Macaca mulatta: one gene and its partner. The protein of the gene in region 1 purifies or fractionates together with the protein of each later gene. This does not show direct contact. Links are inferred from orthologs where the notes say so. Each region holds a gene or a part of one and is shown in the gene's direction. Other genes may lie near its edges.

The links.
Region 2: the proteins of PTPRR (region 1) and MAPK14 purify together in Homo sapiens (affinity purification with mass spectrometry; 4 studies listed by BioGRID and IntAct, counting the BioPlex papers as one, with this or other methods). This does not show direct contact. The link is inferred for Macaca mulatta from reciprocal best matches to the Homo sapiens genes PTPRR and MAPK14.

Annotation. Positions count from the first base shown.
Region 1 is NC_133416.1:77,999,341-78,003,942, reverse strand, and holds the start of PTPRR (receptor-type tyrosine-protein phosphatase R), read left to right. Parts: upstream 1-1,794; 5' UTR 1,795-2,142; coding exon 2,143-2,200; intron 2,201-4,602. UniProt on the Homo sapiens protein: Sequesters mitogen-activated protein kinases (MAPKs) such as MAPK1, MAPK3 and MAPK14 in the cytoplasm in an inactive form.
Region 2 is NC_133409.1:146,226,392-146,230,966, reverse strand, and holds the start of MAPK14 (mitogen-activated protein kinase 14), read left to right. Parts: upstream 1-1,507; 5' UTR 1,508-1,857; coding exon 1,858-1,973; exon of another isoform or gene 1,974-2,200; intron 2,201-4,575. UniProt on the Homo sapiens protein: Serine/threonine kinase which acts as an essential component of the MAP kinase signal transduction pathway.

The DNA of each region.
Region 1 (4,602 bases):
AATCATCAAAGTTCTTCACCGTTGGAGTTCAAATTCCATTTTTGGGGGAGTAAGGAAATAGATACTAAACAATGGATTTTATAAGTAATTATTTTGGTTTGTTAGAAAGTGATATGTAAGTAGAAAAGTAAAATGGAGGACAGTGAATCAGGAATAGGAGAAGAGGTTGCAGCTTAGAGTGGTTTGGGGTGAAATGATAGTGCCACAGAAATGGAGTGTGCCACACGCATGGGGGAGTAGGGGGTACAGCACTTGCTAGAGAGGGACTGCATATGTCTCTATTTTCAGCAGAGAAGGCCTGTCAAGTTATTAAAAATACATCTCATTGTCTCCCTCTTCCACTTGTTGGAGTGCTTCCTGGCCTTGCTCTCAGAGCTGAAGCTGACATAAATCATAAAAGATATAAATGGTACCGTCTGGGCTTTCTGATCTTGCAAGGTCCCACCTAATTTAAGCTCTGGTGGATAGCCTATTTCCCATTAGTTGTCTCAATTCACAGAGGATGGAGAAAGAAAGCACTGAATGAGATGTGCAGCTCAACTCGATGAGCACTCGTTAGCCCCAATTATTTGGCTAGGACAACTTTATTCAATTTAATGGAATCCAAAATTCAGCAGTTCTTATGGAGCCTTCAATGTGCTGTAAAGCAAACCACAGATAAATGAACTGTCTGAAAGAATAACATGAGGCACTGCTAAACAAGTGTTATGGAAGAGAAAGATCACTGTAATCTAGAGTTAGTTAGAGTTAGGGCTTTCTGGAAAAGTGAGACCAACATTACACCTTCGAAAACTCTAGTGTGGTAGTGGTGCAAGTGGAGGAAAATAGGAAAGACGCAACAACATCCATGAAGACACAGAGGCAAAAAGGGCAGTGGCCCTGGGATAGTTAAAAGAGAGAAGTCTAGCTGAGGGCCTTCTTGACTTGACTAGCGGCAATTAGCCATGACTAATAACGCTTTCCACACTCCAAAGACTTAGATGGGGGGATAAAAAACCATCTACATTAGGCAGACTGTGGTAGCCTCCCTAGACCCACAGAGCTGGGCCGGATGAGCCCCGGCACTGAAGTGATCTATTATCTTTCACCATAAAGAGTAAAAGGGAAACTAAAGATAATTACCTCCATGAAACAAAAAGGTGCCTTCTTTTGCTTCAATCACATGGATATATTCTACTAGTCTAAAAGTATCGTCTCACTTCTTTCTGTCACACTGTGAGGACTTGAGTCAGAAGAAAGTTTAAATACAGGGATTGAGCTGGAAAGAGTAGAAAGAGAAGCAAAGAGGGGGAAGCTGTAGGAAGGACGAAGGCGCTCGCGAGATATATGGTTACGCTTACACCAAGCAAGCTGCCTTGGGAACGCTTTCCCCAAGCAGCCAGAATGCTCAGTAGTGGAAGACACCTCTATTCCTGTAGGCGAGTCCTGGGAAGCTGGTCAATCTGCAAACGCCAATTCTAGGCAGTGAGCTCGGTCCACTTGTAAATCAAGATTTGGGGAAAGAGTAGGGTGGGTGGCATGGTTGACGCTGTCATCAGCTCCCCCATCTGGCTTCTCTGGTCATACCCCTATCTACTCTCACCCAGCTACACCCCACCCTCGGATTTTTGATGGACGCTGGGTCCCTAGTAACCACAGCAAGCGCCTCCCCCGCACTTCCCCCTTCCCCCACCCCTCACCACCACCACCCCAGCGATGGAGCCTACTCTGCTCCAAGCCGCCGCTAAGACCCGGAGAAGCGGAATTTCACTTTGAAACTCCCGTGCCTCGTGAGGGCCGGCGCTGGGCATGCTCAGTAGCCGCGGCGCTGCTGCTGGGCTGCTGGGCTGGCGCGGAGTCCACCCTGCCGTCTCCGCCTTGGCTTTTGGGCGTCCAGAAGGCCAGGCATTTGCCGCCTCTGAGCGCTTCTGTTCCCCTTGCCCGCAACCTCCTACTCTTCTTCCTCTCTCCCTCTCTTAGGGAGGTTGAAGCCGGTGCTGGTTTGTGTCGGCGCCACAGACTGACTGCTCTGCAAACCCCAGCCGAGGACCTGCGAACGAATCCCGGAGACTAGAAGACCCTTGGCGGTGGCTCTTTCTAATAGTACTTTACCTGAAGAGGGGTCGTGGTGGAGTTTCTCCTCCACCTCTCAATGCAAACACTATGTGGAGAGCAGTCGGCTTCCCTGCGCTGTGCCTGCTCCTTAATCTTCACACTGCAGGTAAGGGGTTGCCAGGCGTAGAGCCGGAGCTGTGCATGAGATGGGCAACTGCACATGCTTAAGGACTCTAGGAAAAGCTTGCCTTGCGAAGAAAGCCTTTCCAAAAAGGTAAAGCAGGACAGTACCTGACAGGAAAGGGGTGAGGGAGTCGTGCACCTGTTGGAAAACTGAGGCCGAAAACTTAAGCTAAAATTAGATCTTGATTTTTCTTTACCTTACACGAAACTAGTGAACATTTTCAATATGAATGCAGGTTTGCTCCCCCCTTCGCCTCCCCTCCGTCTAGATTCCCTGCTCTTGTTTCTAGGCTATGCACTTAACTGTCAGTTTTTCAGGAGAGGGACAAGACATTCTGCTGGATGTAAGCTTTTCTACTGCAGCGGCTACATTCTTAAGGTCTCTTGGTCTAGCGAGCGCCCATAGGAAGGCATTGGCTGTAACCTGATGGACCACATCTCCGCCCAAAAGATCGAAATACATGGTTCACATTAGTGATGCTGCTCCAGGCTCCTTTGGCCCCTGCTCTTGTCACTCGAATTTTCTAAACCAATAAGAGGAAGGAAAGGTTTCAAATAGAATCCTCTTGTCTCTTTCAGCACCATGGCTAGCGTCCGCTGGCACTAAAAAATAAATAAAAATAAAAATTACAGTTCAAACCCTGGGATAGGCACTGTCCCTAGGACAGATTTGATAAGGTGTAACCAAGAGTAACAGTGAGACTGCTCCCAAATATAAATAGATTTGAGGCACCAGAATCAATATCAAGTATCGTGTGGAAGCAAACCTGGGGAAGTACCTGAGAGATATTGTATGTGGTGTCCCTGCTTTTTGGATACATAGCACCTCTATTTTATGCAGAGGACTTGCTGGGCTGAATTCCTTATCATTGTCACATACACATGAACCGAAATAAAATGTGGCAGAGATATTTTAGAAACCCTACTGTGACAGCAGTTGTCCATGCAGCAGTCCTGTAACAACCAGAGACTAGGCATTTTCCCTGAGTGTGCTTCTCATCCAATCACACATATCCATTCATTCCTTCAACCAACATTTGCTGAGCGTATACTATGTTCTAGGGGTAATGAGTAAAAATAATTGTTTGAAATTACAATCCTTGCGGTATCTTTTTTAAAAGAGTGGGTGAATTTTATTCTCTGTGTACAATAGTGGGAGTGAAATATGGTTCTTTCTTATTCCAGCTAATGCTATTATTTAAATGTATCATGAATCTTTTGAGCATATAATGCATAGGGTTATTAAAGCTATTATTAAATACACATGTTAATTGTTATAATTATGATGTTATATTGTGGGGTTTTCAATAGTTCTTTGGTACATTTTGAAAACCAGAAAATAGCTATGACTTGATTATTAAATTATTTGCAAACAGCTGTAGTGAGTTCTTTCATTACCACATACAATTCTTCAATGCTGAAATATGGGACAAAAACATACACATTGGGTTGAGTTTTATTTATAGTATTGCTTAATAATAGACTGATACAAACATTCATTACAGAAAAATCTCAATTCTTACTAAGTTAGCAATGATTTAGTTGGTCTGCCAACAATAGCAGTGTAGTCATTTTTTTCAAAACTAACATATAAAAGAGTTTAAAGATAACATTTAATACACCTTGAGTAATTATATCTTAAAAGTTATAAATAAACTTAAGCATGTGAAAAACATGTCTTAATTTACTGTAGATGAATATTTGGGATGAGAAAAATAGAGGACTTTTGCTCATCAAATGAGAAACCTAAAAGCTTGTAGCCCTAGATTATACCTGGAGCTCTGCCAAAGGGTGTATTACCAAAGCCAATCCAATCCATCTCTACTTCAACTTTTTAACTGCAAAACAAAGATAAAAAGTAAGATTAATCAACCAATTTTAATTTAATAAGACAATGCATTTAAGGACATTTTTATATTTCAATTGCAAGATGCTGAATATTCATTGTATTCATATTTAATATGGTGAAATATATTGGTGTTTTATCACAACAGATTGCAAGTTTAATATTATAGTTCTCTTGCCAGTTGTATTTTAAATGCATTTTAATTTTAAACAGCAATTTGTGGGTCACAAGCTGTTATCAGATTAAAATTTATCACAGTTATCTAATGACATTGTTAGGGCTTTTCATCAGAACTGAAACAAACATAGCTCCTTGGTCTAAGCTTCTATACATTTGGAGATTAACAAAATAAGTGGACAGGATGACAAAGATCAAGAAATCACTAGTATCTCTACTTGTTGAAGGTGTGAGTTTGTTACTTTTGTGGAAGACTTTTCTCTCAGGACAGAGGCCGACTTCATAAAGAAGGGAAATGAATTCTATACATTTACGTCTCTTTAATTGTAAAGCTAATTGATCCATTTTGGTTATGCCCAAGG
Region 2 (4,575 bases), on another chromosome or scaffold:
TGAATGCTTAAAATCCTCTTCACTGATGGCTCTTCAGGGTAGGAGTCAGTTTCAAATCTTCAGTGTAATGGTTTTTTAAATGCTTCTCAAAGGGAGATATCAGACTTTCCTGAATCAGAATTACCTAAGATGTATTATAAAAATACATGCTCTTGATGCCTTCCTCTGACCTACCCAATTAGACTCCCTGTGAGTCCTGGGAACTTGCATCTTAAACTCCCAGGGTGATTTTTCTGCATGTAAGTTTAAGAACTATTAGGAGAGTTTGAATGGAAAGCCTCAGCTTTTTTTTTTTTTTTTTTTTTTTTTTTTTTTTTTTTTTTTGAGACGGAGTCTCCTTCTGACGCCAGGCTGGAGTGCAGTGGCGCGATTTTAGCTCACTGCAACCTCCGCCTCCCGGATTCAAGCAATTCTCCTGCCTCAGTCTCCCGAGAAGCTGGAACTACAGGCTCAAGCCACCATGCCCAGCTAATTTTTGTATTTTTCAGTAGAGACGGGGTTTCACCATGTTGGCCAGGATGGTCTCTATCTCTTGACCTCGTGATCCGACCGCCTCGGCCTCCCAAAGTGCTGGGATAACAGGCGTGAGCCACCGCGCCCAGCCCCTGGAAAGCCTCAGCTTTGATGCAGGGTTAACATTTGCCTTTGGGACATATTTCGTCAGCATCTCGAAGAGTAACCCACATGTAGAGTAACCCATATGTCCTTGAGCAGATGGGAATGCAACAGCCTTCTGGCCAGAACCTGTCTCTCACTTTTTTTTTTTTTTTTTTTAATTTGAGACGGAGTTTCGCTTCTGTTTCCCAGGCTGGAGTGCAATGGCGCGATCTCGGCTCACCACAACCTCCACCTCCCGGGTTCAAGCGATTCTCCTGCCTCTGCCTCCCGAGTAGCTGGGACTCCAGGTGCGCGCCACCACGCCCGGCTAATTTTGCATTTTTAGTAGAGACGGGGGTTTCGCCATTTTGGTCAGGCTGGTCTCGAACTCCCGACCTCAGGTGATCCGCCCGCTTCGGCCTCCCAAAATGCTGGGATTACAGGCGTGAGCCACCGCGCCCTGCCACCTATCTCTTTTTCATGCAAGTGTTTTTTGGAATTTGGGGGTTCAGCTGAGCAGGTGCTCCGCTGCTAGTAACTACTCGCAGTTAAAGATCTTTTGACTCTTTCCCCGACACGCTATTTGTCACTGTCGTTTTCCACCACAGAGCCAGGTATTTGCCCTGCCGGCCACGGTGGGGCGCGCGCGGCGTGTGCTGCCCGCTTATCTCTTCCTTCCCTGGTCCGCCTTCGCGCCCTTAAGGAGACAGTTCCTGGGAGTTTCTGCCTTTGGGCTCCAGTTGTTGCTCTCTTCTCGCGAGAACTGCCCCTCTCATCCTCTCCTCTCACGAAGCCCCGCCCGCGAAGAGGTTCCATATTGGGTAAAATCTCGGCTCTCGGAGAGTCCCGGGAGCAGTTCTCGCGAGAGTACTGCGGGAGGCTCCTGTTTGCTGGCTGTGGAACCGCGACCACTGGAGCCTCAGCGGGCGCAGCAGCTGGATCCGGAGTACTGCGACGCAGCTCGGAGTCGGCCTTGTAGGGACGAAGGTGCAGGGAGATCGCGGCAGGCGCAGCCTTGAGCGCCGGAGCGCGTCCCTGCCCTTAGCGGGGCTTGCCCCAGTCGCAGGGGCGCATCCAGCCGCGGCGGCTGACAGCAGCCGCGCGCGCGGGAGTCTGCGGGGTCGCGGCAGCCGCACCTGCGCGGGCGACCAGCGCAAGGTCCCCGCCCGGCTGGGCGGGCAGCAAGGGCCGGGGAGAGGGTGCGGGTGCAGGCGGGGGCCCCATAGGGCCACCTTCTTACCCGGCGACTGCCGCTGGAAAATGTCTCAGGAGAGGCCCACGTTCTACCGGCAGGAGCTGAACAAGACAATCTGGGAGGTGCCCGAGCGTTACCAGAACCTGTCTCCAGTGGGCTCCGGCGCCTATGGCTCTGTGTGGTGAGTGTCGCCGGGCCTGGGGCCGCTGTGGGCAGGGTGGCCCCTCGCGCCCGAGAGCCAGGCCTGCACGACTGCTCTGCGTTGCGTCAAGTGGCAGGAATTTTCCTCGGGGGAGGGCCTTGCTGCCCCTTCGAGCTCTGCCTGTTCTGCACCTCCTGCACCCCTCGCCCTGCACTCACGCGGGTATTGCGGTCCACCGTGTGCAGCGCTCAAGTCCGCTGCGAGAGGTAGGTGGTGGTGCTGGAGCTCGGTTCTGGCTAGCACCCTGCGCCTTCGCCTCTCGGAAGGTTGCTGCTCGGCGGCAGGCACCGGGGGAAGGGCTGCTTCCTTGGGGGTCTCCCTCCGGACCTGGAGCAGAAGGACCCTCTCCCGCGATGCGCCCACGCTGTGGCGCCGGACCCTGTCCTCTGAGCAGACAAGCTTGGGGAGCTGCCGGGAGAAGCAGAAGGGCAGAGCGCAACCCGAAGACTGCGGTCATCTAAACAAAACTGACCAGGAAGGGAGCTCTCTCCGGGCCTTTTTTTTTTTTTTTTTCCCCAAACCTCTGTCGAAATCCCATCTCGAGAAGTGTTCTTTTTGAATTCGCACTTGAATTAGCAGCGATCCATAGAGCTTAAAATACCGACTTTATCTCGGTGAACACTGTGCCAGCTTGAGTGGTGTGTTTCCGATTCGGTTGAAAGCGTATTTCCTTTCTGTGGAGGGGCGGCGGTGGTAGTGCCTGCAAGAACGCTGCAGCTTGAGAAACTGGCAGTCTCACTGATTAGTCACATACCACTGCTCATTTAAGTATTGTTCGACAAAACAGTTTTTTCATTTGGAGCAAGAAAGATTCAGATCTGTAAGGCGCCCTCAAGATCAAAAAATTATTAACAGTGCTAGGAGGTATTGTAAGTATTTTTTGAGATAATTCCTGCGAATACTGTGTTTTAAAAGTCCCTTTCAGAGTTTGCAGGGATTTATCTAGTTATCTGCATTTATGGCCTGAGGTACACGATGGTTTTCGTAAGGATATGGAACCACATAGAAAAGGAAGGGAAGAGATACTTTTTAGCTTTAATTTACACCGTGAGTGTGTTTTAAATTAAGTCGATACCATGTAATTTCCAGACCTGAAATATTTCACTAACTGCTCTCTAATTTTCAAGGTTTTATACCCTGTATTTTAGATTTTCTATAATTTAAAAGCTACGGATCTGAAACTAAATATCAGATTTAACTGTTAGCTTTTTCTGTGTTTTAGTAATTCGTATTGTATGCGTCATTTGAAAAGGGGCCTGTAAAATAGTTTTTTGTTTTGGAACAAATTCCAGGCTTTTGGATGTGTTAATCTTTAAATATGATTTCTGTGTTTCCCAAAGTCACATCATGAATTTCCTGTTTGGTAGAATCTTCTGGGTAATTGAGATTGTGCAATTGTGTCCAGTAACAGATCATATTGCATTTTCTAGTTCAAGCTGCTTAAGTTATGTTGCAGATGGCACCGTGCGTGACATCTTTCTCCCATTTTTACAGCATGGCAGTTTACATTTTAAAGGAATTTGCAGGATTTTACATTCAGAGTGTGTGTGTGTATAGTTGATTTGCAGCATTTTACATTCGATATATACATGTTAATATATGTATATCCATTCAGTATATACATATTATGTATATCTAGTTGATTTGCTAATTTTCAAAGATGTATTTGGATCATTGTTCTTTTAATATTTTATAGCTCATTAATATACTTCCATTTTTTCATTCTTGAATTGACACATTCATTTCTGTAGTATCACGTTTTTGTTTTCAATGCTATTTAAATTTTAATGGAGTGATAACAGCAGAATAACTCATCTATAGAGGGTTTGGGTGAACTCCAGTTGAATTCCTCGCAAAGGTTCAGTACTGTTGGTGACTAGCTCTGCACTGGAACAGGAGATCCAGATTTACAGTGAAGTACCATTAAAATTAACTCCACATTTCTTTAGTGGTATATTTTTCTGTGGTATAAAAGCCAGCAGAGGCCGGGCGCGGTGGCTCAAGCCTGTAATCCCAGCACTTTGGGAGGCTGAGACGGGCGGATCACGAGGTCAGGAGATCGAGAAAGTCCTGGTTAACACGGTGAAACCCCGTCTCTACTAAAAAATACGAAAAAGTAGCCGGGCGAGGTGGCGGGCGCCTGTAGTCCCAGCTAACCGGGAGGCTGAGGCAGGAGAATGGCGTAAACCCGGGAGGCGGAGCTTGCAGCGAGCCAAGATGGCGCCACTGCACTCCAGCCTTGGCGACAGAGCGAGACTCCGTCTCAAAATAAAAAAAAAGCCAGCAGTATCTGACACTTAAAAGTACTTTTATTGAACAGATTTTTAAAAATAGGTAATATATTCACATTGTATAAAATTTGAAAGTTTTAAAAAGGTATTCAGTGGGCCGGGCGCGGTGGCTCAAGCCTGTAATCCCAGTAGTTTGGGAGGCCGAGGCGGGTGGATCAGGAGATCCGGAGATCGAGACCATCTTGGCTAATACAGTGAAACCCCATCTCTACTAAAAATACAAAAAATTAGCCTGGTGTGGTGGCAGGTGCCTGTAGTCCCAGCTACTCGGGAGGCTGAGGCAGGAGAAT